Tribolium castaneum: one gene and its partner. The protein of the gene in region 1 interacts with the protein of each later gene in a pairwise test. Links are inferred from orthologs where the notes say so. Each region holds a gene or a part of one and is shown on either strand. Other genes may lie near its edges. The genes, in order: prefoldin subunit 3 and Pfdn4.

Region 1 (16,314 bases):
ATTTTCTATGGGCTGCAGCTTCGGAATTACAAAAATACTGTGTTTGGCTCAATCTGGAGGCCCCTTCTGGCTGTGTCTTATTAGCATCCTCTGAATTAAGTCTATTGGCTTCGAAATCAGTGGGGGTATGTCTTATCCGCAAATCCTGGGGCATATCACTCGAGAAAGTCTTATTCGTGCTAGTGCAGCTCGGCAAATTAACGTTTCTCTTTTTTTTCTTTTGTACTTTATTTCGGTGTCTTTTGGGCTCCGCTTCCTGCACTGACATCAGTTTGGAGGGATGTGCAACAGTGATCAGTGGCAAAGGCGACGTTTGTTGCGAGTTTTCCCCCAGTTTTGGGGATGAACTCGGCGACGAAACTTGCACTTCTGGCGACTTGCACTTGCTCATCCATAAATCGGGAGTGATCAGAGTCCCACTGGAGGACTCCTCCCCGTGGACGTGGGGGTGCATTTCAAGGTGGGCCCGCGTCTCGCGCCAGAAAATGTGCATCTTGTACTGATTTAAACATTTGTCGGAACAAAACTGCAACTGCGATGACCCGTCCTTAAATAAAAAATTGTAAACTTTGCTAGTGGTTTGAATTTACTACCTGGGAATCGACGTACGAAACCGTATGTCTGACGTGTCTGCACCAATCGCATGTCTTGTTTTTCTTGAAATTGGCCCTCCGTGACTGGGAGAAGCACAGCTCGGAACAGAATGTTGCAGCTGCTGAAGACAGGCCTGTGTTTTCGTCGACGGCTTTGCCGCACCATCCGCAACCCTCTGGAAGAGAGTTTTTGCCAGGAACTTAAATATTGTCAAAGCTTTTTATCAAAGGCGAATAAAATCAAAGTTCGATGATGAAAATATCGAAAACATAATCTAATTTGTCGAGGCTTTGAATATAAAAGCGGTAAAAGTGCACAAGGAGCTCCACATTGCGAATTGTAATTAAAACACGATCACAAAGTAAAGCAGGGACGCTCGTTTTTGGATTAAAAAATCACCATAGCAAAAAATGTTTTATTTAATTCTCTTATAGCTCAGACTTCTATCACGATGAATTATTTGCCTTAAAGCTGATCATTTTATTCTAAACTGAAAAAAGCATTTGGATGAGGCATAAATAATAACTTTCCGCATGACTGTTCTTCAGAGAGATTCTTACGGCTCATTAATTTTTCAAAATTATTACAGATAATAGCGATAACACATGTAATTCGATGAATATAAATAAAATTGCATAGACGTACGGATCCCATGTCGTTTGGGGTGATTTTGTTTAATTCACACTGTCTCATGATATTTTGTAAGTTAAAAGAAAAAAATGTTTTAAAGAGTAATTCTCTATTTTTCAACTTTCATAATACTAATTACCACATGATTTATTTAACAAAATAATGCTAAAAGCTTAAAATAATGTTTTATTTAAAATAATATTTATGGCCAAAATTGTAAAAATACTGGTTTGTTAGTGGAGTAAAAACCATTTTAACATTTTCAACCGGATATGTGATAATGAGCAAACAACAAACAAACAATATTTTCGAATTAGTTGCATTTGGAAGACTGTTTCCAGTTTATTCTCCATCGCTAAAAACTTAAATAGGTAACGGACAAGTTTTAGCAGTCCTAACTTTAATAGAAGGTTATAAACTCATTTAGTGTAGTTTAAAAATAAGTTGCAGTGTAGATAAGTGTTAAAGTTTTTAATTCGCGTGCCTAATATGTTGGGAGTAATTTCATCATGAGACTTTTCAGCCAACACAGTCCTCCTTGACCCCATTTCCCTCAAATTTCCCTTGTTTGAGCCAAAACGAGCATCAGCTCCGCCACTCTCACTCTTTTGCGTAGTACAGCAGCATTTTATTTAGCGATGAAAATAACTGCATAATTCGCCGCAAGGGTCGAATGCCGAAAGTGAGCAACTTCAAAGCCTAAGCAAATAAACCATTTCCCGGTTTAATTCTGGTAAAATCCCGCATAATGCGATGTTTTGATTCGGTCGCACGTGGCCAAAGATCAAATGAACCTTCCCTATACTATAACTCAAAGTTGGCGTAAAAGTGTGCAGGCTAATATTACACCGTCTCGAAATAGCCGCTCGGATTATCTTTCAGATGCGCCTCAAAGCGAAAAATTCCGCAACCCTTCGACACCCACCAAATGACGGGGGCATTTTTGATTAATTATAGCGACGGTGCTGGGCACTGTATTTCCGGGAACTCCACCCCTTGCAGCAAAGCCCAATGAAAGCTTTTCATCAATCTGATATTAATTGTGGACTTTAAAGCGTGAAGAAGGTTCGAAATATTTTGATTGGTATGGAATTCCACGAATAGCACACATGCTGAAGCATGGTTCGAGGAAATTATCGATAAAACTTATTCGCACAAAGGAAATTCGTTCAGCGGCTCACACAATGTGCCCTTTTTGCGCCCACCAACATGCATACAAGTCAGCTTCGTGCATTATACAGGTGTCACAAATGATTATGTTTTAGAAACTGCATGAGGTCCAGGAGTTATCACGAATATTGCAGTCACAAATTTTCATTTCATCGATAAATGTGGAAATGACAATTAGGGAGTTTCGATAACTCTGGGTGCATTCAATGCACGGTGAAAAACAAAATAATTGAATGGTCGGCGCATGTAATTTGAATATTCATAATTCTAACGAGGAATTTAATACTGATTAACATTCTTGTAATTACGATCATTGATTGAGCATAATGAGGTCTGATGAAATAAAACCTGGTTTTCGAAGTTTTTAAATTAAAAATTCGAGCTTTATTATTTCGCAATAATGTGGAAATAAAAACTAGCTGAAAATTTTCTTCCACCACAACATAGACAATCGTAAGTTTTTCAGGTGAAACAGAGCTGTATTTCTCATTAGAGCTTTTTCACGCGCAAAACGTAATAATTGAATCTAAGTATAACATAGCGAATTCAAACACCATTTGCGAAGTTTAAATTACAGCTTGAATTACGTTTACATTTTCAGCAGTTTTGTTGCAAGATTTTAGAAAATCATATTTATAAGCCCAGCTACTGAAAATGATGGTAATTTGACACATACATAAGTAAAGCAATTACCGTTGAATTTGGGAGACGGGGGTCCGGAGCTGTTGCTTCCGGAATGCGACTTGCAAGCACGTGCATCCCTGTGATTGTTATTGGCATATCCGTACCAGCCTAGGAGCTCATTCATGGCTGTTTCAGCAAATTCCTGCAACACATGAACAATGATTCCTTTACGAGAATTTTATCACCGGCAGATATCTTTAGAATTTGTTAATTAGCCTGGAAACATTTTCGTGTTATTACTAATAAAATCTTATCAAGGAAAAAAATCCATAAAACATTGCCATCTCGTGACAAAGCAGCGATTAAAACGGAATTTTATTCCACACTCGTCGGAATAACATAGCTGTTTCTTAAAATGCAAAACAGGAGGGTGTCTGCTTGCTTATTTTAATTAAACGAAGTGGTTATTAATAGTCGGAGTTACCCGATGCTCGTCTAAGAGAAGGCGAAATAAAACACCCTGGTTTCATTCCTGCAGATCATGTTCGCACTCTACATGCAGTTTTAATATAAGGAGTTGTTGCAGTTTGTGAAAACGATAGTCTCTCCATCTCGAGAACAAACGCCACTTCGAGGCGAATCAACTTCACCAGGTGCGAACCGACGGCACGGGCCTACGGCCAAAAATTTAACTTTTTTTCCTAAATTCCAGTCTCAATTATAGGTGAAATAACAGGAAGTTAGATGCACCTGGTGAATACCTAAAAAATCGTAACTTAAAGTAAGTAAAGTGAAAACTATGCAGTTGCTGAAGCCGAGAAATTCAATCCGTTGGAACGGAAGGGTAATTAATTCATAAATTTATTACGATCTAGAAAATACATATCTATGGCTTTCATGGCGTAATTTTTAGACCCTTGTGTAATAGCGATTAGATTTATTCAGCTAATGTAGTTGTACGAGTACATAATGCACATATAGGTGTAGCCTGATGGAAACAGGATACCCACCTCTGCGGAGGAGTTAAAGAGACGAAGAGGGCGTAGCTGGTTCAGCGTAGTAAACAGACACCGTGGTGTCAACTTTCAAAATGTCTCTAATTATACAGACAGAACAGTTTTGCCGCCAAAGAGTTCGCCTATTGAAATGTTAGCGGCGAATCCACCAAAAGTAACATTAGAACGAAAATGAGATAAAACCGAACGAAAAATATTTGAACACGTTATTAATGGATTTTTATTTTACTGATTCATAATGGTATTTCGGAACCTGAAATCCGATATTTGCACAGATTTATTAATTGAAAGATCGGATTGATTTTCAAACATACTAATTTGCAAAATACGGTGTTACATAAACAAAATTTGAGGGGGTTTAGTTTCGATCTAATAAATACAGGAATTATGTTACTTGAATAACTAAAAGCCTTTGGACAGATGTATATGCCTTCCAATTAACAAATAACAGTTAATAACCGCAAACGTGCTGCGATTTTGCCTCTGACCTTTTCTACGATAATTACTTCGTATTTTTTTTTAAATCATTTTGAAAATGTTACTACCTGATGATAGTATCGATCTTAAATATGCTCTTGTAACTTAATCTTTCCTCTACTCGATTCTATCTCTTTTCTCGACACTTTAAACCAATTTGGATCTATTATACCAGATGAACCCAGTTTTGCTATGTATGGAAATAATTACAGAAGCTTTTACAAATACGTATTACAAACAAAATATTGATAGAAAAAAATTACATTTTTCCAACTCCCACGATTTGTTTTTAGAAAAATATTTGAGAAAAAAAAATTAAAAAAAAGATTCAAGAATGGATTGACAGAGAGATATGTTTATATGTGCCCTAGTTTTTTGTAAGCCAATTTATAAGATTTGTTATAATAAATATAAAGAAGCAAAATTGTTAAATATATCAAACAGACCACCTTCGGAGCTTGATGTACGTTTAGGGAACATACGAATTTTTTTTTATTAATTCATGATTGTTCCATAGTCTGTCTCTGAAGGCTCCACTATTTTTTTGCAACAACTGAATGAATAACATAAAATATAATTAATAAAGATTTTTAGTTAGTAGGTTCCAAACACAATTTAGTTTTTTTTGTATTTGAATTTGAACTTTGAAAAATTGATTCCGGTAATAATGGCATTGCTAAACTGGTAGCAGTGTGGGTAACTTGAGGTGAAGCGGCGATTGGGATCCTTGTAAAGGAAAAATGTTTATTTGGCCAGCTCTAATGATGGGTAATTGTTTAAATAAAGGTTATTTGCTTGTCTGTTAGCCGCTTAAATTAAAATAATAAACATGTTTTGAGAAGTATGATTTGTAGAGCATCAACGGAATATCCAGCGAGATGCAAGGATATAAAATAACGTGTATTTACGATGTCTGGCTGATGGGTATCAGTTGCACGCCATCTGCCATTTGATACCCCCATATCAGGTATCGCGTTCATGTTACACATCCATGTTAGGCCCGTGCTCAAGCCTACAACGCATTTAAATTTTAACACAATCGACACGAAAAATAATCAAAACGCTCAAGAAAAAAATATAAATAAAATGTATATTTATGATATTATATCGGATACATTCTGGCCCCCTCTTTCCCGAACGAACACATCAACAATGACGAAATCTATTTTTAAATCGACATTGTAAATCTGTATGCTTTTAAAATAAACCAGACTTGTTAATTAAACATCGCAAAATTGAACCCACCTTTATATCATCGTTAAGCACTTCCTTTTTAATCGTAACTTTCGCAATTTCTTCGGCGCCACTTTTTTCCATAAATGAAAACCAAATGTGCAAAAAGGCCAAAACCAAAAATTCAAAACGCACTACTGACTCAATAAATGACGGACAAAATCACTTTTCACATTAATACTGCGCCACTAGGAAAATTTCGATGAGAACTACAAGCTGAGCTTTTCAATAATGTTGTGATTATTTTGGTACTCGAAGTGGGGTATTCCCGCCACACTTTCAAATTCAAAACGCGCAAGTCTACCAAATGCGCAAGCGCACCAAAACCAACCCCAAAATTGTGTAATGTCCAAAATTGCAAAACCCGCCCTTAGCTTGAAACACGTAATCGGTTTCATATCCAAATCTTGAATAATTCCTATATTTTAGTTTATCTTGAAACAAGAAGTTAAGAATCTTTACAGGAAAATCTTCAGGGCTATACGGCAAGTGCCCGATCAGGGGCACCAGCAGGAGCTGAAGGAATGGGCAAGACGTGATTTCAGGAGCAACGCTCATCACACGGATGAGATAACTATTAAAATGTACATCAAGTACGGGGAAAGGTGTTTAAAGGAACTGGAAAATACCATTTCTTTGGCAAAATAGGTTGTGATTGAAATGAATACACTTGTTAGATAAAAAACGGTTTTATTCAACAATTTAATTAAGTCTAGTCCATATGACAATAACGCAGTGAATCACTAACAAGAGTGTGAAAGAAGCGGTCACAACGCCTGAAATAATCTTGATATGAGTGGTCCTCAAATGACTCGCGAATATTATGTGGAACAAAGTGTTCGTTATGTGCTGGCCGTCCATAAACAGACAGGGCAAGATATTAACTAGAGCCAGCCCCATTGAAAACATAGCTAAATACCCTAGAAATTTGGTAGTAACATCGGGAATTCGCGTCCCTAAAAACGAATATTTTGGGACGTATGAGGACACCGTCACTGTCCTCACAAGATCAGACACGGGCCCAATGTAGATAACGTCGTTTTTGTTGACTCGCTTGATTTTAAACAAATTCGTGTTATTCGTTAAAATCGGTCTGAAACAATAAGTATCTTTGGGGCAAACATGGGGGTCAGATATGCAGAAATTTGTCGAGGCTTCGATCGCAGGTCTTCCAGGCAAACAGGCGTAAGGGGGCAGCTCCAAAATGCTGTCTTTACTATCCAAGTACTCAAAACACAATTTGCCTTTATTCTCTGAATGGCAGCAGCTTACAATCCCACTTTCGGAGTGTTTCAAATGAACGCTCTCATCCAGATCGCGCACAACGTCGCCCTCAATACAAAACGCGGGCTTTTTTGTGCGTAAAGCCACTAAACATTTGTACCACGCATTTTCATCGTCCACCTCACAATCATTAATTTTCAAAATTAAATCGCCAACATTTAAACCCCTATTTCCGAAAATTGGCGATTTTGCCTCAAATTCCGTTACCACAACTCCTTTACCAAAGTTGAAAAACGGTGAAAAAACGGACGGTAGAGAAGTGTAGAGTAAGTAAGCTACGAGTGCAATTAGCAAGTTGTGCCAAACTCCGGCGCACAAAATCTTGAGTCTTTTCCAAGGATTTAGAGAAAATAATTTGTCGGAATTTAAGTTAACGTAAGCCACTGGCAAAATAAAAATTACGTTGGCGCCCACATTGATCACATTTACGTCTTCTTGCACAGCCCCTAACGCATGGCCTAGCTCGTGCAAAACCGAACTGATTAGCAAAGTTAAACTGTAGTAACCCATTTCGGATGCTGGAAGGTTTATTCCCGGGACTACCGGCTGAATTATGCTTTCCTCGCCACTTGCCGAAGACAAAAAGTTTTGGAAGAAAGCCACTAACAATAGGTAGATCGAAGCAGGCAGCAAAACTAAACTCACACATAGCCCCAAATTAAACCACAAATTAAGAAATTTCGTGTTGTGACTGCCCCACTTAAGCAGCAATTTATTAAAGGCTGTCGTGGTCCACGAAAACTGGAACAATTTGATCTCCAGGCCCGTTCCTTTAAGAAATTGGATGTATCCGTAATGAGAACATGACTAAAATTGTGGTTTTTAAGGGCACTAAACGTGTTCCGACTTACTTTAAAAAACCTGTCCATGAAGAGAACCCATAAGTAAATCGCCGCTATTGTCATTAAGCCAAAAATCAAGTCCATTTTTAAGTTTTTAACTCATTTTTCAAAAAATTATTAAATTTCCTAACCCCACATAATAGAGTGGTGGCTACCAACGCAACGAATTGATAAAATAAAAACCACCAAACTTTCAATTGTTTAGTCGGTGGAGTGGGTAAATTTTGCAAAAACTAGAATGGAACAGTCAGAATCGGAAAATAACACAGAACTGGGAGACAAAAAGTCCTACGCTGGAATCCCCGAAGCCGAATTTGTCGTAAGTGTCGAAACCCCGTCCACATGTTTTTCGAAAAAACGTAACCTCAATCCCGACCTTATGATTTTTCCTGTCTCAGGAAGATGTGGATGCGTACATGGCGCGGCCCGAAAACAACAAAAACGTGGAAGAAGTGTTGAAAAAATTAGATAACCAACATGCCAAGTATAAGTTTATGGAATATAATTTATTGTCGAAGAAAAAACGGCTCCAGAACCAAGTCCCCGAGCTGAAGCGTTCGTTAACGATGATTGAGAAACTAGGCGAACAGAAAAACGAATTCGAGACTCAGTTTTTGCTCAGCGAACAGGTTTTCGCCAAAGCTAAAGTGCCACCAACTGAGACGGTGTTCCTGTGGCTGGGGGCCAATGTCATGCTTGAATATAGTTTAAAAGATGCTCAGGAGCTGCTCACGCAGAATATTGCTGCAGCTACTAAGAATTTAAAATATGTGGAACACGATCTCGACTTTTTGAGGTAACGCTTTGTTGGGGTTTACTTTAGGCTGAGTCAATTTTCAGGGATCAGTTTACGACAACCGAGGTCAATATGGCGAGAGTGTTCAACTGGGACGTGAAGAGACGCCAAGCTGCGAAAGCAGCGGCAAAATGAGGCTCCAAGTGACCATTTAGCACTGTTTTAATTTTGTTACAAGATCTGTCACTGCTGCTTTATATCGTCCAGTTTTGCAAAATATATTTTCGCGCTCGCACTTTTACAGTGCATGTAAATCACATGTTACTTCCAGCTTGAGCATTTAATAACTTAGCTTTTATTTAACCCGTTTCTGTGAATAAAACTATTTCTAATAAGGAAATAACTTTAATTGCTAATAAACACAGACTGTTTCTTCAAACTTCTTTTGCCAAGTGCATAAAATTTTATAAATGAAAAAATAATACTGCAAATAACAGTCCACATAATATTCAATATACGAACATAAAAGTGCTTCTCAAAAATGGTAGTTAAGGCATCACCTGAATTAATTTACAGGTTGAGTTAAGTACAATGTGAAGACCGACTAAAGTCTTAAAATTTCACAATTCTAAAACAAACTAAAAATTAATTCATAAAAGGAACAAAAATAAAATTCTAAAAATAAAAAACAATGTATAATATGGCAAAGAGGAGCATCACTGGTCGGCGTTTTCTGGAGGCTGTTCAGCTGGGGCCTCTTCAGAGGGCGCCGCCGCGGCCGCTGCCTCCTCCGGCGGGTTCTCGTCGCCCCCAGTTGGCTCAAAACCTTCCTCCAAGGGAGCGCCTTCCTCGTCAGCCGGAGCTGGAGGCTCCATACTGATCCTCAGCTCCTCCAACTCTTGGTTGAGAGCCTCAACGCGGGCCTGGTACTCATCTATCTTCGTTTTCATTTGAGCGAAGGTCTCGATCCCTGCTTGCATGGCCAAGCGGTCCCGAATGTACCTAAATAAAAAAATCAAACTCCTGGCAAAACATTGTGCAATAGTCACTCTAAAGCATCTTCGGGTTTCTCAGGCTCCTCGTAAAGATTGACGAGGACCTTGGTTAAGGCATCCATAACCCCATTCTTCTCCAGGTACTTACGGAACTCCTCGCGTTTTCCCTCGGACGGCTAGTGGGAAAAGTTGAGGTTAAAGGGTAAGTCGGGGCGGATAACTTGCCTTGAAAGTTGGATTCGACATTTCGCAAAACAGCTAAATAAATGGGTGGTTGTACACGTGTAAATCACAAGATTTGGACGAATTTGTGGCTCGCAACCGTTCAAGTATCAAGTTTTGGGTGAGCTTTGACACTGTGTGGGTAAAATGACAAATTAGGAGCTGTCACAACACCTTTCAACGGGTTAATTAACAAATTTACGGAAATTATAAAATAAAACGCTGAAAACAGCGTTTTCGTCAACAACACAAATTCAAAGAAACTTCGTTAACTGGGAACGTTCGCGGTTATTAGGTTGCTGGCATTGGGCAACTGGTTACTCGATGTGCGGCGCCGGGTTTAAAACATTCCTCAATTTATTGATTTAACAATTTATGCAAGCTTTACGAGGACCATTTTAATTAAATTAATGTTTTACACCAGTTTCTGAATAAAATAAGTTGGTGTCTTGTTGTAAAACTCTTAATTAATTTATTATTAATACCTAACAGATGTCACTGGGTCACGTAACGTCAAAAAAGTGACAGTTGTTGGTAAATAAAATGTTGCAAATAAGTGTATTTTTCTTTTGATCTGTTATGTTTGGACAACTCAGCACCCGTAAGTAACTGGGGGAAGTACACAAATGTAGTTCTTACGTAACAGTTCTTAGAAACACGTCAAGACCCCAGTTGTAAAAAATGACAAAAATCAGTGAAATCAGCCGAAATTCGTCTGCAAGCCTTTCCGACGATGACGAGGAGACAAGAGTGCGCAAATTTGCAAAACACATGCTCAAGAGCTCCCTATTTATCGGTACGTTTCTGGAAAAAAGGCTGGTTGAACCTTTGAACTCGTACCGCGATGTAATTAAAATATGCGACGATGAACACGACCTTATTGCGAATTTAAAAGCAGTGAGGAAGCGCTGCTTGAAGCATTTTACCAAAAATGTGTGGATTGGTATCACGGAGCCGAAAACAATCGGGGCCCCGGCAGGTTACAATTTGTGGGTGAGTCTGGACGAAGAGGTTTTTGGGAGTTTTTGGTACAAAATCAAAAACGTTGAATTCTTCCACAATGAAGTTAGAGTCAAGCTTGAAGTTGTGAGGCCAGTCAGAGAGAAGACTCCAGTTCATAATATAACTCCCACTCAGATTTTTGAAGACGTTTCTCAGAAGAATTTGGGTGAATTGGGTGCAAAATTTCAGGAGTTTTTCAAGGATCAGTTGAGGAACTTGTTTACTGAAACCTTGACTTGGCCCAACATTAAACAAGCCACCATATTTATGGTTCTTTTGTTATCAACACTGATCACTTTCTTGATACACACCATCAAGTACCTTCTAGACTATCTCCTGAAACTTTTGCGTGAAACGCAAGGACTTATCAGGGTTTGCACCCCAATTATTGTCAACTTTATGACTTTAATTTCGAATACCATTTGTGGATTTTATTCTTTATTGGCGGTTTTGTGGCGAAATCGGTCACCACCAATCAATCAATTACACATATCTCCGTATGATGTACCATATTATAGAAGTAATATGAGGGCATTACCTTACCAGGCAGGAGACTTTCAAAGGTATCGCAAATCTCGCGGATCTTCAGTCAAGATCACTCCGTTGGATTAAGTTTCTTTGCATTATATAATTCTGTTTGCATTTTTAATCACATCGCTGCAAAGTGGGGCACTAGGCAAAGCTACTTTATTGTAGTCGACTCACAATGTAAATAATTTGTGTAATATTGCTTTTATCTGGGCTCAGGAATGTTGACATTGGGACTTGTACAGATAAAAACTAGATGCGTTTTGTGGTCAAAAAACTATGTATTTTATTGTAGACTTAATAACGAAATATTTATAAGTGAAACAACTCGTATCTATTTTTATAATTGTTGAAAAATACAAATGTTAAAAAAATTGGCGTGCTTTTATTTTGTGACCAAAACTACCCAAATAAGAAATTCAATTCAATTTGGTATGGAAATTAACTATTTTTTGGTTAAAAAAAAAAAAAACTCAAACTCCCTCCACGGTTGAGTCAATAGTAGTTTCTTTTCCTGTCTATTCTACGAACCAAAAGTTACCAAATGGTGGATTTGGTGATTTTTTGCAGAGAGGTTAAGTACGATTTTGTTTATTTACCCGAAGATTAATTACTAGTATTACAATTCAGTAAATATCCGGAGTTAAATACTCGTCTTCACAATGACCGAAGACGTGCAGAGACACTCCGTACATACGTTAGTATTCCGTTCCTTGAAACGGTCTCACGACATGTTTCTCTCAAACCAGGGACTACTGCCATCAGTGGACGAAAAAGCGTGAGTAACAAACCACAAAAACAAGCAGCCCTTAATATTACGAATTAAATAGCGAAATGGTGCGAAAAGCCATAAAAGCCCGTGACTTGTACGGCCTAGTCTTTGACGACGTTAAGAAAATGCAAGCTATGAAGCACTTACGGGAGGCAGAAGCTGGGCCAAACCCCCCACCACCGGGCACACGCACTGACGACGCGGCCCCAAACACCGAGGGGGCTGTTGTACCGTACACTGACACAAGTTTGATGACACGAAGCGTCCAAAATAACACACAAAACCAGCTCGCCAATTTAATGAAAAAAGTCCCCACAATGCCAAAGCCGAAATGGCACGCCCCTTGGAAGCTATACAGGGTGATTGCGGGGCATTTGGGGTGGGTCAGGTGTGTTTCGGTGGAGCCAGGAAATGAGGTATAAAATTTTTGTTGGCAGCAAATTTGTTACCGTTTTTTTGTTAGTGGTTTGCGACCGGCGCAGCGGACCGAATAATAAAAATCTGGGACCTGGCAAGTGGGCAGTTGAAAGTGTCCCTAACTGGGCATGTGAGCACGGTCAGAGGGTTGGCTGTGAGCAGTAGACACCCTTATTTGTTCAGTTGCGGTGAAGACAGACAGGTCAAGTGTTGGGATTTGGAGTACAACAAAGTCATTAGACATTACCATGGCCATTTATCGGCTGTATACTCTCTAGCGCTTCACCCCACAATCGATGTTTTATTAACAGCAGGGCGTGATTCAACAGCCCGGGTTTGGGACATGAGGACGAAAGCAAATGTTCACACTTTGACCGGCCACACGCATACTGTAGCTAGCGTGGTGGCGCAAGCCTCCGAACCTCAAGTTATCACAGGATCTCATGATACCACAATCAGATTATGGGACCTGGCAGCTGGGAAATCAATTTGTACGCTTACCAATCACAAAAAGAGCGTTAGAGATGTGATTCTCCACCCGACTTTGTACGATTGTTTAATTATTTTTTTTGTAATTATTTTATTATTTGTAGGAACATGTTCGCGTCGGGCTCACCCGATAACATAAAACAGTGGAAATGTCCTGACGGGAAATTCATACAGAATTTGTCCGGTCATAATGCTATTGTTAATTGTCTCGCTGTCAATCCAGAAGGCGTCCTGGTTTCAGGGGGCGATAATGGAACTTTACATTTCTGGGATTGGAGGACCGGTTACAATTTCCAAAGATTACAAGTAATTTTTGTAACTTTGAAGGAAGTCAATCGATTAATGTTACATTTTTAGGCCCCAGTACAACCTGGGTCAATGGACAGTGAAGCTGGAATATTCTCAATGATTTTCGACAATTCTGGCTCAAGATTAATCACAACTGAAGCTGACAAGACCATCAAAATCTACAAAGAGGATGAAACTGCGACTGAAGAAACGCATCCGATTAACTGGAAACCCGATATTTTGAAACGGAGGAAATTCTAATTCTATGATTAAAATAATTTGTATTTTTATAAAAATAATAAATAAAATTTTATGAGCTACTAAAAAGTTTTAATTTTACCCAACTTTGCATTATTTATCAAATTTTCCGAAAATTAATCAAACCATTTGACATTTCTAGACCATTAATAATCGCAGAAGTGCACAAAACTTACGATTTTCTAGATGTAAAATCGTGAGGGTAAAGGTTAAAATGCTCTACGATAAATAATTTTTAATTTGATAAAAACAATAAATTAATTCGTTTGCGAATTTGGAATGCTTGTTACCAATCATATTTCCTCGTTCAAGTCGTAATCTTCCTCAGGGAAGTCGCCACATTCAACGTTGTGTGGCTTAACAAAGGCGCCATAATTATTAGCACATTCAAAATATTTCTTGCCTTTAAATCTGCAACAAAAGCTAGAATTTTTTTTCAACTGATGGTCGTAACTTACGTTCCATCGTTTTTGCCCAAAGGTTCGTCATACTTGACCCCTATCCAATATCCAGGTAAGGTCTCAACAGGCCCTGTGTACATCACAGTGCCAAGTCTGCAGGGAGCATTGGCTACAGTAACTTTGCATCTTGAACCAATTGGCGTGCTTTCTGCCAGTTGTTTTTCCTCTGACATTTGCTTTTCTTTCTTTTTTATATTCTCCTCGTTATATTGCCCTGAAAATTTACAATTTATTCTGGAAAATCTTGGGTTTTGGTGGCAATTTACCCATTTTATTTTTCATTAAAAATGCCTTGACTGAATCTGTCTTTTTATTGTACTCTTCCTCGGGTAACTCATATTTAGGCACATCTCCAAAATCAAGCTCATTGCGTATATTAAACTGGTCAATCACGTGTAGTCTCATTCCATCGTCCAAGGGATAAGAACCAAGCAAAGCCTCATTGTTTGAAAGTGAACAAATGTGCTTATTATCCTTGTTGTACGCTTCAATTTGCATCGTATTGCAATTGCCTCCTGTTATTAACTCGAGTTTTGCCTGAAATATTGAAGTTGCGATCCGACTTCGTCAGAAAATGCAAAAATTTGTACCTTTAGGTCCGATATGGTTATGTCCTTAGGAAATCGCTTTTCTTCAAACGAAACATCGTCTTTCGAAGTGCTTATGTGAAGTCTCACAAAATCAGATGTAATTACTTTAAAATCGGCCATACCGCATGAATAATCAACAAAATTCAATTTGAAAAATGTGAAAAATGACTAATAATTTTTTTGTTTTCTGGTGTCAGGGTAGACAACCAATCCAACCAAAAATTAATATTGGTTCGATATTTTTAATACAAATAATACGTAATAAATTAGCCCAAACTAATTTAACTGCATATAAATTAGAAATTTATCGTTTGAGCAAACATCAAGGCAAATAAATCAATATAAACAGAAAACATATTTCAGAAGTTATGTCCTCACGTTGGTTATCATGTTTGTCAAGCATGCTAACCTCGCTTTTACATGTGTTCTTTTTGCATTGATTAGCATAATGTCTAAAAAACCCCCAAAACAGTCGAATAAATCGAAAGGCAAGGCCAAAATAAAAATTTTCAACAATAGGAAGAAAGCAACGACTCCGGAATCGGCTGCTATTGAGAAGCTTCAAGAAAAATACGAAGCTGTAAGTCTGTATGCTGCTTGATCTTGGTCACCAACCGTGTTTTCAGATTGATGTTTCTACCATTAATAGTTTCGATGACTTACCTTTATCCCCAAAGACTCTAAAAGGGCTTAAAGAATGTGGTTACACAAAACCTACGGACATTCAAAGAGAAACCATAAAATTGGGTCTCACGGGGAAAGACATTCTAGGGGCGGCTCAGACTGGTTCTGGCAAAACCCTCGCGTTTCTTATCCCGATTCTGGAACGCTTGTATTGCAAACAATGGACGCGACTGGACGGTCTTGGAGCCTTAGTCATCACGCCAACGAGAGAGTTGGCTTATCAGATTTTTGAGGAATTGCGACGGGTTGGGGAACACCACGAATTTTCCGCGGGTTTAATTATCGGAGGCAAAGACTTAAAATTTGAGAGGAATCGAATGGATCAGTGTAATATTGTGATTGGTACACCGGGCCGAATTTTACAACACATGGATGAAAACCCGCTGTTTGATTGCGTAAATATGGAAATACTGGTCTTGGATGAAGCTGATAGGTGTCTAGATATGGGTTTTGAACAAACCATGAACGCAATTGTCGCGAATTTGCCAGCAAAGCGTCAAACTTTGCTGTTCTCAGCCACGCAAACTAAATCAGTGAGAGACTTGGCGCGTTTGAGTTTGAAAAATCCTGCGTATGTCTCCGTGCACGAACACAGCGAATATAGCACTCCTAAAGGACTGCAACAGAGCTATGTTGTCTGTGAGCTCAAAGACAAAGTTTCGATTTTGTGGAGTTTTATCAAAAATCACTTGAAGCAGAAGAGTATCATTTTTCTTGCGAGCTGTAAAGAAGTTAAATATGTCTACGAAATATTTTGCAGGTTGGTTTTTTCAATTAATTTATTAAAAAAATATATGTCTTTTGACGAAATATGGTCGTTTTTTAATTTTTCCAATAATAATCTACAAAAAAAATAAGTTAAGCGAATGACGTGTAGTCTCAAAGATTTAATTTTCGTGAATGTTGCAGGCTAAGGCCTGGTGTGAGCTTAATGGCATTGTATGGCACTCTTCATCAATTAAGAAGAATGGACATTTACGAAAATTTTTGTAAGAAAACCTC
Region 2 (16,362 bases), on another chromosome or scaffold:
AGACACCTGTTCAAACGGTTCACTTCTAGTAAATAGAGCCGAGTCGCGTGCAAATCGTGGCGGATTACGGTGATTCGGTGGTAGTTTCATGGGTCAAAGCTGGCCGAGTGCGGGAGACGAGGCCGCAAACATGTGCACATTTCAAACAAAACAAAAGTTGCGCGGCGATCGTAGCACACTTGCTCGCACTATGTTGGCATTTTATAAACTAAAAATTTCAAACGAGTTTTTGCCCCCTCTCGACCTACCTGGAAAGTGGCGGCCAATAGAAGGGCGAGATTACGGTGGCAAATGCGCGAACTAGCGATGGAATGTTGCGGTTGGTCAATGAGGAAGGGCGACCTCTGGGGGACAGGTAGCGGACTAAGGGGGTTTAAACAGGGAAATGCATTATTTATGAAATTGGACGAGGATTCATTCACAAAAACGAAATTCGGAAAAAAGCCCCCATAAGTGATTTATTTGTTAGTTGTGCATGCATATTTACAGCGTGTGCTAGCGAGTTAGTAACATCCAGAAAAATTACACAAAATCTTGGATCTTTTTGGCGTTGAAACAAAACTAGGATAAGCATCGATTAAATGATCAGATCCAGAATTTTTTTTCTCCAGACGTGTGATAACATCTTTTTTTCTGTAATCCGAACTAATTGTTGCAACAGATTCTTCAAATTACATATCGTTTTTTTTTTGGATTCTTTAATTTTTTTATCAAAATGGATCAACTATTAAATACAGGCTGATCCATAGGTCTGATAATAAAGCACATGGAATATTTGGATTTGTATACAGAGTGATCCAAAATAAAATATATCCAACTAAGTTCTATTTTTTTTTTATGAAAACCCCGAATTTTTGTTACATATTTCAAATCTCGACTAAATTGTCGGTGTAACGCACCCTGAGTTCTTAGACTTATCTGGCATATTTTTTCATTTATGTCAATTGATTCGGCAAAATAGCGTCATGTATTCAAGATATCTTAACCAACTTTTTTCCAATCGATTTAGTGCATCTTTTACAATAAATGCGAACTTGGAGTCGATATTCCATCGCCTACTACGATTTTCTGAAATTGACAAACTACAAATGGCTATCACTCGATTTTTTTTAATTTTATATTTTAAAACATCATTAATTACATGAGGTTTTTATGATCTTTTTATCGATGGGGCTGTGGGGTCTACTTGTAAAATTTGTGAACACCTCCATACCATTCTAAAAACAATATCTTTCAATAAATTGTGAATTGTAGGTATAGAAACAGAAGTACACCACAAAGGAAAGAATTTTAAAAGCCTTTATAATAACAGGGAAGTATGATTGACAGGGAACTATGTAAAACTATCAAACTAGTAGTAGTAGTAGTACTAGTAGTAGTAAAGACTACTATTTTTTTCCTTTGTTATATACCCCTGTTTCTATTACAATTTACAATTTGTTGAACAGAATGTTTTCTGAATTGTATAGAAATGATAAATCTTGGGACAATGGCCTACTTGATTTTTTTTCCGAAAAAAACATCACTTTTTTTATTTTACAATAATTTTACAAATTTTAAACCCCACAAACTTTATTTTAAAATGTGGTACTGCATTTGAAAAAATCTCGTTATTGCCATTTGTAATTTGTTAGTTAATCGTAGTAGGCCAGGAGATATCGACTCCAATTTTGCAACTATTATCAAAGATGTACTAAAGCTTAAGAAATTGATTGAAAAAAGTTGGTTATGATGTTTTGAATGGTTCTGAAGTTATTATACATTTTTCTGTCTGTCTATTATACATTTTTTCTATGAACGACGGTATTTATTGTCATATGTCAAACTCTATGAGAGACAGGTCTAAGAAACCTGGGTTCGTTTATCGACAATCAAGTCGCGATTTCAAAAATGTTACAAAAATTTGGAATTTTCGTTAGAAAACAAAACTTAGTTGTGTACTTTATTTTAGAACAATCTGTATACAAACTGAAATATTTTTAGAAGGTGCCTATTGTCAGACGTATCTAAAAAATGAAGTCAATATCTTGCATAGAAAAAAAGTTACGGAGCTTCCACGAAGTCCTGGGTGTTTTTTTATTTTATTATAAATTATTTTTATAAATTTATTTTTTATAAATTGACATCTATTAAGGTCACTCACAACTATAAAAAAACAAAATACCAAAACTGAGCCAAAATCGTAAAATCTACTTTTTTACATTTGAACGATTATTGAACTGTGATCCTTTTAAAAACATAACTACAGATTTGTTATTGTAAACAAGCGAGTTATTTTTAATTTGAAATAATGAAAAAAAAACTTCTTTCTCGTTCTTGCTTCAGTAAACAAAAAATGTACCTAATCTTCTAGCTGGACACTGGACAGTGCTACGCTTAATCCATTATTCATAATTTCCACAATAAAACATTTGTAATTTAAATATTTCTGATGGTTTGTACAATCATTGAATAAACTTCAGACGTAATAAGTGATTCGTGGTGGATGATTATCACTATCATGGTGTAATAACAATTACCAACAATTAATTAGTGTTAATGTCACAAATTTTTGAACAGCACTGTGTTTTTTAAGATCTAAAGGTCAGCAGTGGACTTTACCAACTCATTGGGACACACAGTATCACAAAAAGGAATGTCTCAAAGTGTGCCTATTGTACATAATTTTAGAATCTGACGCTGCATAGGGATTGCCTTAATGCAAAAATTAAAAATTATAACATTAGAGATGAAAAAGGTGGAAAGACAATTTTTTTGTTACTACATTAATTGTCTTACAGCTAATTTAATTTACAACCATTTCTGGAAAAAAATTCCGCCTACAAAGTACATAACGAAAGTTTCCTAAAACGTATCACATTGCATCCTAATTTTAACTACTACAATAATAATTTCTAATTATAGTATAGCATATAGTTACAGGAAAAACAGATCACTATTTTACTTATTCTTATTACTTAGTATTTCGTTAAAGTTTTACGCTTCATTGAAAATCATATCTTGCACACTGCTATCAAGTCTCGATCCAAGCGCTAGTTTAATTACTAATTATGTCTTTAAGAGTTATAGGTAATGAGAGCAGGGAATAAATTTTACGGTCTTTAAATCTGTAAGCTTCTTAATGTGACATAATAAGCTACCCCTATTATATTACTACCGCTTATGGCTTCCTGTAAAGCAAAACCGATAATTTAGTGCTGAATTCAGATTAATATTTTTTTTTATAAAAGTGCTCGTAAAAGTAACTAAATCATTGGGACTTTCATAAAATCGTTAATGTATCTATCTGTGTGTAGGCAATATGCATTTAAGTTAATTAATTCTAATTGATACTTACATTAAAATTTTAAAATTACCTATGAAGTCATACCTACTTATTTCTAATTTAGGACGGATTCGATAAGAGCATTTTAAAACCTACCTATTTTAACCATTTACATGTACCTACATACATTTATTTAATTATAAATAAATAAAAAATTAAAAGTGTAGTTTCGTCGATAAGACTCATCCTATTGGTACTAAATTCATGATGTTCAAAGTCCAATTTCTTAACACAAAAATTATATTTATTTCGAGGCTTTTCCTCACTTTTGCGTCTACAGGGAATAAAACGGTGTAAAATACACAACTATTTTGTTTCATTCTTACCTCCAGTTATCATCCTGAAAATAGGTTTAGATATGAAATTAGATTCTTTAACTGATGATTATTTAACAATAATTAAAAGCTTTGCAAATAAGAAATAAGCACAAGAAAATGCGGGTTTTTGTCACTTCTGGCAATCAACTTCGACCCATAGAAAGCGTCGTTATGGAAACCCTTCAACAATAACACAGTTTCATGCTTCACATAAATTTAAAATTTGTGAGGATCGAAGTTGCATTTCATGAAGAAAATTTAATTTTTCTTCCTGTCCTGGTATAATGTATTGAGGAGAAAATTAATTTAAATTGCATTTAAACTCGTTGGCGGAGCCGAGTGTTTGTTTTATAATCTATTGTTTATTTTTAAGTAGCTGTCGAATCCCACCACATTACGTTCTTCTCACGCTTCTACTTTTTAACTTGTTTATAGTGGTTTCTTGGGATCAAAACGTTAAATTAAAAACCGTTAATGCATTAACGAAAGATAAGAATTATTTATGAATTATATGAAAGGAAAATGTTCCGCCCGCCTTGATGAGTTCTAGACGTGTGTGGTATTTTGATAACAGTAATATTTTTGTTTATACAATAAAAGTGAAGAATAAATCAAAATGGAGGAAAATAATTTGTTATTTTGGTTAAATCAGAATGTAGTAAAAAAGTGACACGTGACAAAAATTATGTTTTTTGCTCAATTAAACTGTTTACTTATTTGCATTTTAACACACCTGCTTAATTGGCTTTGCCGTAATTACTATTTTGTGCATAATAATTACACATTACACCAGTTTCTTACCTACATTTCTTGAGAATCATTTCATGAGATACATAGTGCTGAAAAGTGGAGTAAGTATTAAATAAATAAAATGCAAAGAAAACTTTAGTCTTCGGAAGGTGATTATTCCCTTAGATCAGTACAAGGAAATTAAATTTTGTATTTTACTTATTTTTCAACCAATGGTTTACTTTAAAAAAATATGCAAATATACTTGTCGCCTATAATGAATAAATCGGTCGATTTTTTTAACTAAAGGTTTGGGGTGAAGTTGCTTTATTTATTTTATAAAAGATTTTTTTGTTTATACAAAAAACTTTGAAACAAATCAGTAAAACAATTTTTATTTATTGTAAAAAATGTGAAATTGCTTTAAATGGGGAGATTTTACCAATTTCAAATCGACCGAGTACTACTGTGATTTGTAGAGGCAAACCAACCAATTAAATGTTGTTGACTTGATGTCATGCGTTAAGTGTCAAAACGACGGTAAGCGAAATTTTAACGAAAATGTAAAAATTGTAGCCACTTTTGAAAATGCCTAAACGTTGAGTTTTAGTACCAAAGAAATTATTTATGTTAATTTTTAGTTTAAATAAATTTCTACCGGGTGACTATAAAAAATTGTTTCTGTATATGTATCACAACTATACCATAACATTCAAACATAGGGTAAATAAAACTGCAACATAAGTTTATTATTATTTATTAACTATTATAATGTAGTCAATAGAATACAACATTTTAAAGAACACAAATAAAATACAAAATATAGACGAAATCACTGACAATAAATTTGATATGAACGATATTACAAAATTCGCTAATTCTCAATCATAATCACCGAAACCCATAAAGCTCAATTCCTAAATAAGGGATTCTTCACCACAATATCGTACCCATGGTACTCAAGCTGATCATAGACATATTTCCTATGGACACGGCAGTCAATTCCGCATTTCCTTGAGCCACATTTGGGGCATGGGAGAAAGCATCCCACGCACTCTTCACTCAAGCAATCGCAAAGATCAATGCAAGTGGCGATGTGGATTCCATTCTCGTCATAGAGAGCCCCTGGTGGCCTCCGAACGTTGCTTGGCGGATTGATTTTGCGATTCAATTTCCGTTTCTCGCGAATGCTAGTCTCAGGATTAAAATTTTCCAAAAATCGGTTGGCTACCGTCAGAGTTTTCTGGGACCCGGGGGTTCTGATACGGCTGGGGTAGGGTTTGGGGTTGGACGTCGATTTTTTTGCCACTCGGTGGAGGGACGGCCGGGGCTCATCCTCTTCGCTGCTTTCACTGCTCATTGTTTCGGTTGTGACTATTTTTTAAAAGTTTTTCTTGTAAAATTGAATTCGAAAAAATACAGCATAACCTCAAAAAACGAGACAGTTGACAATTGTTTTGTCAAATTGGCGCGAAGTCCGGTGTACACGTATCTAATACGTAAATTGATGAAGGGGTGACTAAAAAATTGAATTATTGAAATATTTGTGTTAGGTCACTAACAGATTAAGCAGAAAATTAGTGTTTAATTGTAGATATTATAATTCACAAGATAAAAAACAATTCGCGTCTTCTTGACAAAATCAAAATGGCTGTCTTACAGTCAGGCGGAAAAATTAAACGCCACAAATTTTACGAAAAAAACGATGGTTTTTATGAAAATACAGAAAAAATAAGAAACAACATTTGTTAATTCATATTTTATTACAATCGTTATTACACAAAAATCTTTACTGGCAACATGGGAATGACAGTAAAGTGACAAAATGTCAAGCAACAGTTGAAATAATGTCACAAATTAGTAATATTAGGCGTGAAATTTCTAAATAAATACCAAAACGTTCCGCATAAATAATTTATTCCTCTTCAGCTTCTAAATTAATATGGCTTCCAAATTTTCCGTAAAGATGTGATTTCAAGTCGCTCATTTGGCTTTTTACATCATCTGATTGGCTTTTCAATTCCTTGATGTCCTGATCAATTTTCTTCTTAGCATCATCGAGGCACTGCTGTGTGGTTTCAGTGTCTTGCAGGATAAATACTTCCCCTACCAAATAAGGAATTTTCTCCTCTTCATCAAATAACGCAATTTCGTCACATGCTTCTTCCAAACTTTTCAGATCGTTCTCTTTCACCTTAACTTCTTCTTTAAGGTCTTCAAGTTTGGCATTCAAACGTGCAAATTTGTTAATTTTTTGCTGGTCTTCGTAGGAAATGTGGACGTCAGAATCCGGCTGAAATGTGCCTTTGCTCCCCGCCATTTGTATTAGTTTCTAATGGATTTGTTTCCCTTCAAAGCTAGATAAAAGGTTTATAAATGTAATTTCTTGTGATACACTTAATGGAAATCAGATGCAAAAAATAAGGTTAGGTTACGACAAATTGACAGATTAAATAATTTACAGGTTTCTGTAATTTGCGAAGTTTAAACCGGCTAAATTTAAATTAGTTACACATCGTGAAAATATTTTTTGAGGGTTTTGTAATCAGTTGTTTATTTTTGTATTTAATTCAACAGTTTTTTTAAGTTACTTCAAATTGTGGAAAACTTGACAAGCTTAGAAAAGTGCACCGAACAGGGCATAAGGTACAAGACAGAACCGGACAGAGTCACTTTGCCGAAGGAAGTAAAAAAAAACGCAGTTTTGATAATGTATTTAGTTTACTTTTATAAGCATTTAATAAATCATTAAAAATTTTCCAACACATATTATGATCAAATTTTAGTCTTTACAGATAATAGTAGAAAATATAGTTACAGAAAATAGGAAATACAAAGAGAACAACAATAATAATAAACACCAAGATCGGATATTCGAAGAAAATAGAAATATTTACAAACCACCAATATATTCAGTGCTACATTTAGAAATGGTGATCACAGAAAGAAAATTCCATTATAAATCCGGTTTAAGATGGAATTAACAAATAATACATCTGATGTATCCTGTAACAAAAGTCGTACGTAAGAGAGAAAGAAAGTGTAAAACTCAATTTAAGTACACCAGTAATTTAGAATTACTAATGATATAAACTATATAATTAAATACAAAATATTGCATCCACGATGGTAACAAATAAAATATGTTCCATAAATAAATAAAATCAACTAAAACAGGATTATATACATAAGAGACGCCATTAGCAAGATTTATACAAATTGTTGAGCCACTATTTCCCGTTAAGTAATAAAATCATCATTCAATACACAACAAAGATATCACTAATGTAAAAAATTGCATTCTTTGGTTAAAACCAACTACGTGGGTGATATCCAGCTTGGTAGAAAGCTGCCTAATAAAAAATCACAAAGTATCAGTCCCTTCGCGCTAGAAGCACCATTGCGATCTAGTCTAATATCAACCAAAATACGAAAAAGTTTTGATCAAAACCATCTAACGAGATAATCACCCTCCGATCTTGTAAACGCATCTCTAATCAAATATAGTACATTCAGATTAATATCGTCTATTCACCAAATCATAGAAAATTTTAGTCCCTAAACATCACTATCTGGATCCGTTTCACTTCGAGGCTGTCCAAAGTTTCTAGTAATACTCTCACTCATTGATCGGATATTTGCGAGATGAACGTCATTCGCAGGCACTGAAAAATAGTTAAGTCTGTCGAGGTCAGGTACTGCATTTAGATCGTCATCAGTTCGATAGCAATTGTCGTATTCGGAGTCATAGAGAGCACTTAGAGAATCCAGAGACATCATCGCGTCCGAGTCGAAGATGCGCGAGGAGGCGCGCGACGACATGCTGGTGTTGTCGTCCATGTCGCCCTCGTGGTTGTGGTCGTTATAAGCAGAGTTCACGTCGCTCAGGGCGCCTTGAAAGTACACCAACAAATTATTTTCTCTTGCTGCACCCACAAGTTCAGATAAAGTTAAATTCAAACTTGACAAAACACTGCGGATAATTTTGCTTTTAGAAGCTTGTGAAGTAGTATTTTTCATTAATAGAAAGGCTGATAAAAACAAAACTCCAGATTAAACGTTAAAACGTACGAACCTACTGACTGTGCCAATTAAAGTATTGTAAAAAACAAGCCTTTTTTTTGCAAAAAGAATTATTAGAGCTGGCAGCAAGACATACACTAAATTAATTATAGAAACAAAAGTGAAATAAGGACACGGCATTCGATGTACAAGTAATAAAAGTAATAGAAAATAAATACATTTTAAATTGGTCAAGTTGTAATATAAAAATATCTCAATTAATTTTGAATCAAAAAGTAGTTTCCTTCAGTTATTTCTGAGAAAATTACTCTTATCTTGAGCTAAAGCATAGTGATTTTGACAAAAATAATTCATTTTTCCTCAGTTCAGACCAGACGAGACGCTTCTGGTTTCTAAGAAAATCTTTTATTGACTTTTTTTTATAAATTATGTTAAAAAATGTATGAACTACGACACAAAATTTTGCCTATACCACAATCTCTTTAATGGAACAAATTTTTCGTACAGCACGTGGCGTATTTTCTGATTATATCATGAGAAAAAATAATAAAGAAATAAATAAATAAGAAAAATAAACGTTTCTATCGTTGTTTTCCACCAAGTCAAGTCAACTAATACTTTATTCAACATATTCGTATAGTACCTAATAGAACAGGTGTACCAAAATAAAAAAGTAATAATAAATTTATACTCATAAGTTTACGGTAAACCCAAGAGTTTGTTGTTGTTTTTTAAAATCTTAATTCTTAAGTTAAAGTAGGTATAATAGAACACTTTTATTTCCTAGTGTAATTTGGGTGTAATTCTCTAGTGTATGTCGCTCTTTGAACAATTTTGCACGTTACACCGGCGAAATTTTAGGAATTTACACTAGGGAGTGGACGCTAAGAAACTGGACGACTTTTATGTATTTTTTCAACTGGGCATAAATGTTAAAGAAGAATTTATTTTCTCCTCAAAAAATTCCACATATCTACACGGTCATTTAGAGTGACTGTTTCAGTTGATAGCTCGAAATTTTATTTTTAATATTTAATAATAATTTAATAATATTACATTGTGCTAAAATCAAAATATCTTCGAATCTGTTAGCAACTGATCTCATCATAGGTTTTTTCCTAGATAAACCAATACACGGACCAAAGTTTTTGTGTCATTCTGCATGTACAAAGAACAGATTATTTGGCCAGGGTTTGTCTTATGATGAACATGATTTAATAATTTGTGGTATCGTAAATAATATGTAAATGTTTCATAAAATAAAATTTTATCCTCCTTATTCTGAATAATTATGTAAAGGTCCCAGATAATTCACAAAAGATAAGTCAATTCAAACGTCTTTCTAATATAAAAAGCATGATTCTTCATATAAATCTAATGTTTCACTGCACTTTTAAATAATCTATCCATCAAACGTTGTAGTTCTTTTAAAATTTGTTAAAAATTACTTGTTACTTTTGCAAGCTCGTCATTTTACATTAATCAGTTGATATTCAATGTCAATAAGCCTATCTATTTTTGAATAAACTGTCAATATTTTATCCAAAAATGATTAAGTACTCGAAATTGCGCTCATATTTTCTTTTGGAAGGACAAGCTCAAAGAATTTTGAAATAATGCTTGTTTTTTATCTTAAACCGTATTCGCAGCGGAAATTGGTACTGATTTTTTGCTTCCAAAAAATGTTTGCTAACTTGTGCTGGTGGAAATACCTGACTCACCTTCAGCATCCGTGAGTCCAGTTTCGTTAATCATCGAAATATTCTCCAGCGCTGGATCATCCGTGGTATACCCCGTCGATTCCCTATCATTCAAAAGTGGCTCAGAAGCCCCCCCGTCCTCATCCTCCGACCACTCCGACTGGCTTCCCTCCGCCCCTTGACTCTCCAAACCCCCATTTTCCAAATTCCTCAACTTTTCTTGCACTTTCTCCTCCAACAGTCTCTTAACTTCCTCCTCCTGTAAGCGCGATTGATACAAATTGTTTAGGTAATTGTTAAACATTGAAGATTTTACCAACTCTCGGTCCACAGGCTGCTTGCCACAATCACCATTTTAAAATCAAACAAATTCAGCAAATTTACCGAGTGACTCACCCTTGCTGCTTCTTCCTCCATGCGTTGCTCCTCGCGCTCGAAGCTCTCAAGATCAGTGTCGTCGTCTCTCTTGTGAACTTCCGGCATATCACAGTCAACATCGGCTTCCTCAGCCGACTTCGGAGCTCTACCAACACCAGAAAAATTATTTTCGCAATAGGACACCTTATTCGAGATTTTGCGTCCCAGTGGAACGTAAAATCTCGAATAGGCTCGACCTGTGCCAGAAATGTACGTGACAAAGCATGAAGTGCGAGCAAGCAGCATGAGTGTTAATGAAGCTGAGTGAGGCTAAAATGAGACACGATGTTAGTGTTCCTGTACCTGTCAAGAGGCGACACTTTTGGCTGTTTATGGGATTCGGACGGTCCTGGGGACGCTCCCCGCTTAAGCGATCCCTCTTTGCTGCTTGCTCTGGGAGGGGACATGCACTGGAGGGTAACACTGCCGGTGGGATTCACTCTCAAGCCTAGAGCTAGGGCCTGGATCGCCGCAAGCCCCACCTGGTGGTTGTTATTGTTTGGAGCGTACCTTACAAGCGGCTCCAAAGCCAGGTCTTTGTTCTGCTGGTTCAGCTCGAACTTTGGAGGGATGTTCTGGAGGAGGTTCTGCTCGTCGAGCAGTTTCTGGATCTCGCGCTCAAACGGACCAATCAGGTTCTCGTTCTCGGTGTTGTTCACCTTGTTATTGGGGGAAATCTTGTCGCGGAAGCCGGACGGTGAAGTCTTGAACCGTCTCAGGTCCTTTTTATCCGTCTGACAACAGCCGTCTTTCTTCAAACTCTTTTCGCCAAGGTTACGCGTTTCGTCCTCCTTGAGTAGCTCGCGGATTTCTTCCGCCTCTTTGAAACTAGGGGACCTTTTGCAGTTTGCCGCCAGTTTGTTGCACTCCAGGACCGAATCGCTGTCGTTCCGTATCCGCTTATCGAGACTTTTCTGCTTGATTGGAAGTTTTGAAACCGCACCGTTGGCGCTATTTGCTCTTAACAGTGAAGTTGGTTTGGTTTTTGGTCGAGTCACAAACTCAAAACTGGCACAACTCTCCCCTTTACAACTGTCTTCGCCGTCGAGAACCGGCGGACTTGTCACAATCGACGAATCAACGGTGTTACAAGTCCCAGCAAGAGCCAGGACCGCATTCGGTGGTAGATTATTCCGCTTAGTGTTGTTCCGATCACTCGAACTGTTCCTCAAGGAACAATTCGCTGGGATATAGTCCAGTGACGCTCTTGGCGACACCTCCGGTGACGAACACGGATTAACTTGAATATCCGACGGGAATAGGAACTGTTGAGTGTCTGCAGGAAGTGGCGGAGACACACAGGGGGAGGCATCAGCGTCCGTTGTCCTGCTGTAGCTCTCGTCCGAGCTGCTGATGCTGGGCGAGTGGTTCAAGGAGCTGATCTCGTCGGCCGACGAGTGGATGCGCTGGGGGACGCCCGTGGTGTACAGCCCCCCTAGACTCTCGTCCGAGTAGTGTCGCTGCAGAGGGCTGTGTCGGTTGGAGTGGGGGCTGTGGCGCGAGTGCAACGGACTGTGTCTGTTTTGAAGGGGGTTGTGTCGGGTTTGGATTTTGTTACGGAGGAGTTCGGGGGTGCGCTCTGGGATGTTTTGATGTGGGAGAGGTGTGAGGATTTGATGAGGGGGTGGGACAGGGCCGCCGGAGCCGCCGTTGTGATGTTTTCGGTGGTGGCGGTTCGGGGACTCCTTGCCTGGGGGCTTGGGGAGCGGTTTGAGGTAGGGTTTGATGTTCTCAGATGGTCGCGCTGGTATTGCAGAGTAGGGATTCGGAGCTCGAGGCCACGGGGGGGTGTAGCGCATGTCCTGCAAAAGTACGCTAGGAGGAAAGAGAATTTGCGAGGGGAAAAGCTAGCGTCTACTTAAAATAAACTTTCCGTTGAAAAGTAGTACGAAATCGTTTTGCGTAACAAAAAAAACGGTGCCATAATAGATAGTTATACCGAGTGACTATAAACTAATATTGTGTCAAAAAATCCATAGCCTTGCTGATAGTTTGTTTAACAGGGACATTTTTTTAACTCTGAGCATAGTCCCAATGTTCAATTTGACAAAAAACACATCAAACCTTTCGATGTATAAGATAAGTCACCAAACTTACTACGATCATTTACTAGGGGTCGGTTTCACCAACCCCAAGAAAATAAAATACCAATCCAATAGGGTTACTTTTTAAAAATAGCGTAAAGCACATAGTATTGGACAGTTAAGCAAAAATCTAAACTAATTATTACCGTGTTCTGAATAAATAAGATAAATAAAATTTCCCGATTTCAAACTAAAGATTGAATGAAATGTGTAGAAAAAGGTAATTATTACGCATTGGTTTAAACTTTATTATTATTTTTTATAGCATTTTTCTTTGTTAAGTGTAAGAAATGTAGATATTGGACGAGTTAAACAATTACGACGTAACCAAAGTACGTCATTCTAAATAGTTTTAAGAGTTTCAGAATATATTATAGAAAATTTGGGAAGAGTAGTAGTAGAAAAAGCACACAATACAAAAAAAGGTCTTTGAAAAAAGTCAGCGATAATGTAAGATTATAGGAAAAACTGTATAAGTGGCTACGTTTTTTGAAAAAGAAAAACTTCTTAAGTTTGGTGACTTTAGAAAAAACTTTTTCAGGTTTATTAACTTAATTTTAAGAACTATCTTGCATTTGTAGTGATTGAAAAAAATTAAGGGTATTACTGAGTTTAAAGAAAATCAACTGATAAAATTCATAAAGTTTTTATAAGCAAATTATATATTTTTTACTGATTTGTTTTTACAAATCAACAAAGTATGACAACAAATGTCCCATGTGCCCCTGTCAATAACAATTGTCCTTTTTCAGAGTTTGGAATTAACCAATGTTTTTTTTTCTTTTGAAGAAATCTCAGATAGGGGTGGGAAAATTAAGGAGCTCCAGGGCGTTTATTTATAAACTCGTAATACCATCTGTTCAATCTATCACTATCACTTGGAAAAAATTAAAAGATGGTCCTTATACAAATAATTGAAAAAATTGATGCCTATATTACTTATTACTCGTTAAAAATTAGCTTCGTTTCAATTTTATATCTTTAATTAGAATAACGAAGTTGATAATACTTAAAAATTTTGCAAAAATGTTTTGTTTGAATTTAGTTGTTCAAGAAATGAATTTCAGCGACTGGACCTTAAAAATCTACCCCAAAAAAACGTTAAGAGGCGCTGTCGTAACAAGATCATTGAAATAGACAAACCTTAAAACTATTAGTTATCTCAAAGATTATTTTTTATTGGTGACGCTTTATCCATATTCTTACACAAGAATTATTGTCGAGCCGTTTAATTTTATTCAGTTTGTTACCTGCTGTGGTCGCGAACGGCCTCATAAATAAAATCAGAATTTTGTGGTTTAAAAGTCTCAAATTCGTTGGCTAGTGAGTGTTAGTGTGTGCTACTAGGATGGATTTCCAGAGAGTACTTCCGTTGTAGAAAAATTATATTAAATCTAATATTTTTAATTAATTTAATGGCACATTGTAAGTACATTTTTTTCATCCCGAAGTGAGATGTTCAATATATGCTATTATTGAAATATTATTTTAAATTTATTTTTAATGTACTGCAACAAACTGTTGCATAAGAAGATTCCTAAAAGTATATCCATTTTATTTTTTTTTATTTATCGCAAAGTGAGAATTCTTTTTGTGTTTTATTTTGTATTTTATTTTACAAACCAATAATTCCTTTATTCCTTTGGTTTTCTAATAATCACTGTTTAGTTCATCCTGCCCTAGATTCTTAAATTTATTTTTTGTTAAAAAGAGGACAAAGTAGAAAAAATAACATATGACATATTTCCTTTATAATCATTTTGTCACACTTACTTCTTTCTTTTAAACAAAATGTAAGATATAGGGTGAGTCAATTATGGTATATTATAGATTTTTTTTAGATGCAACCAAAAATACTACCTACATTACGTTTCATAAAAAAATGAATCTAAATTATAGTATAATTACGAACACGCTCACTTTTTCGTTTGATTACCTAGTAATAGTACCTAACAGGCCATGTTAAAACAAAATTGTCAATACATACTTAAAATCACGCACTCGCCAATTAATTTTTATTTTATTTAATAACGCAGTCAAAGCTGGAAATTGTTTTTTCTTTGTTTAATCCAAAAAATCAGAAATACTCCACAAATAACACCTGTATTTTGTCAAAAAAAATCAACAGGAAACACTGAGTTGTTTTAGCATTTTTGCTAGTAATCTGGAATGATTATTTAATTATTATAGTCGCCAGATAAAAATTTCACTCGGTACATTTTACTGCATGACGCAAAACAACATTTTAAATAAACAATGACGAAATGAGTCACTTTTATTGCAAATACCTGTGACGACTGCCTCTGCACTTGCTGATAGGAATTTTTATGTGGCGGCAGCGGTGGCGGCGGCAAATTCTCCTCTTGCACCTTCTTCCCGTTCCTTTTGCACCCCCCAGCCGGCAGTAAAGGCTCATTCTCACAGCCGTTATTCCCATGGTCTCTATGCGGCGCCTCCCTGAGCGGCGGCAACCTCATTGCATTCCTAACCCCGCTGTAGCTGTCCTCCCTCGAGCTCGACCTCGTCTGCAGCTGCGGATGCTTCGTCCGCCCGTTCATCTCGCTGTGGTGCAGGAGGGCCAAAGGGGTGGCGACGCCCCCGTACATGTTGCTCGTATCTGCGAAAAGTCGCTCAAACCTGCCGCCGACCGCAGACTGAACACTTACTCGACGTGGAGTTGGAGCGCAAACTGTTGAGCTCTTCCACACGGAGCGTCCCCGGCTGCTTCCGATCGATGAGGAAGTAGGTGGTCATGTCGCCCTTTCCTTTGACTTTGACCTTTCCGCGGCATTGGAACTCGTAAGGGTAGGATTTGAGCACTTGGTAAACTTCCTCGGTGACTTGGGTGTGGTTTGGCAAGCCTGTGGAATCCATACGACTGGCCACGTTCACTGTGTTGCCCCAAATGTCGTACTGGGGCTTCCGGGCGCCGATCACGCCGGCCACCACGGGGCCGATATTGATCCCTGCAATTGTACGAGTGCATTTTAACGTTAAGGTTGAACAATACTGAGAACGTGTGAAGAGGAGCTGTGTGAACGCAAAATTTGAAATGGAATTTTTAAGAAAATTTTTAAGAAAAATAAACACAATGGTTTCTTTTATTCAATTTTAAATTTTATTAATAATAATTATATAATAATAACTTAGTATTTGTCCTTGTTTAAAAAAAATGTTTTCACCGTCCTTTTAAATTTTCTAGTAGGAAGTGAAGCGATCCTATCGGGTACGCTTTAAAAAAAAACGGACCGTATTAACTTACACAATCTCTGCTTCTAGTTAATCTCATAAATTTAATATCAAATTTTTTCACCAGATCTGGTGTTATGATCATGTGAACTCTTTACTAGTCCATATTTATACTCATTTCTTTTAATATAAAGAAGATAATAAAAGATATACAAACTGAGTAGTGATAAAATATTTAATTCCTTAAATTTTGATCTTACATCATCCCTATAAGGCACTCTACTAATTATTCTTAATGTTTTTTGTAGTAGACGAAAAATTTTACTAGCAGAAAGAGCATGTCCCCAACATAATATAGCGCAGGAGGCATATTATATTATTAAAACATGACGTTCATTTTTTAAGACTTGTTGAGAATTAATTTTTTCTAAGCATCGTAACAATAAAATACTTTTGGATATTTTATGTAATAGTTGCTTAACATGACCTGTGCAGTTATTTGAATTTTTTTAATGTCTATTAACACCTAAGAATTTTATTTTTTCTGGGATTTCAAAATTTATATTACGAAGTGTATT

What was found.
Region 2: the proteins of prefoldin subunit 3 (region 1) and Pfdn4 interact in binary tests that used the Homo sapiens proteins (3 or more experiments, as listed by UniProt). The link is inferred for Tribolium castaneum from reciprocal best matches to the Homo sapiens genes VBP1 and PFDN4.

Annotation. Positions count from the first base shown.
Region 1 is NC_087397.1:4,266,727-4,283,040, reverse strand, and holds prefoldin subunit 3, read left to right. Parts: upstream 1-8,048; 5' UTR 8,049-8,108; coding exon 8,109-8,189; intron 8,190-8,268; coding exon 8,269-8,666; intron 8,667-8,710; coding exon 8,711-8,801; 3' UTR 8,802-9,009; downstream 9,010-16,314. Other genes in the region: Sobp (sine oculis-binding protein homolog), read right to left, coding at 1-547, 594-769, 3,088-3,220, 5,757-5,828; LYR motif-containing protein 2, read left to right, coding at 6,090-6,128, 6,174-6,392; S2P (membrane-bound transcription factor site-2 protease), read right to left, coding at 6,447-7,835, 7,880-7,954; c-Myc-binding protein homolog, read right to left, coding at 9,323-9,608, 9,656-9,777, 9,827-9,847; uncharacterized protein LOC656577, read left to right, coding at 10,505-11,437; Tango4 (pleiotropic regulator 1), read left to right, coding at 12,016-12,131, 12,184-12,541, 12,589-13,088, 13,136-13,337, 13,389-13,580; Tbcb (tubulin-folding cofactor B), read right to left, coding at 13,871-13,988, 14,036-14,252, 14,305-14,575, 14,629-14,748; probable ATP-dependent RNA helicase DDX10, read left to right, coding at 15,017-15,208, 15,255-16,072, 16,222-16,314. UniProt on the Homo sapiens protein: Binds specifically to cytosolic chaperonin (c-CPN) and transfers target proteins to it. Binds to nascent polypeptide chain and promotes folding in an environment in which there are many competing pathways for nonnative proteins.
Region 2 is NC_087395.1:16,369,299-16,385,660, forward strand, and holds Pfdn4 (probable prefoldin subunit 4), read right to left. Parts: upstream 6,828-16,362; 5' UTR 6,692-6,827; coding exon 6,287-6,691; 3' UTR 6,116-6,286; downstream 1-6,115. Other genes in the region: ARL14 effector protein, read right to left, coding at 5,282-5,731; rut (Ca(2+)/calmodulin-responsive adenylate cyclase), read right to left, coding at 7,930-8,264, 10,116-10,353, 10,411-10,428, 10,491-10,617, 10,815-12,313, 14,884-15,212, 15,262-15,561. UniProt on the Homo sapiens protein: Binds specifically to cytosolic chaperonin (c-CPN) and transfers target proteins to it. Binds to nascent polypeptide chain and promotes folding in an environment in which there are many competing pathways for nonnative proteins.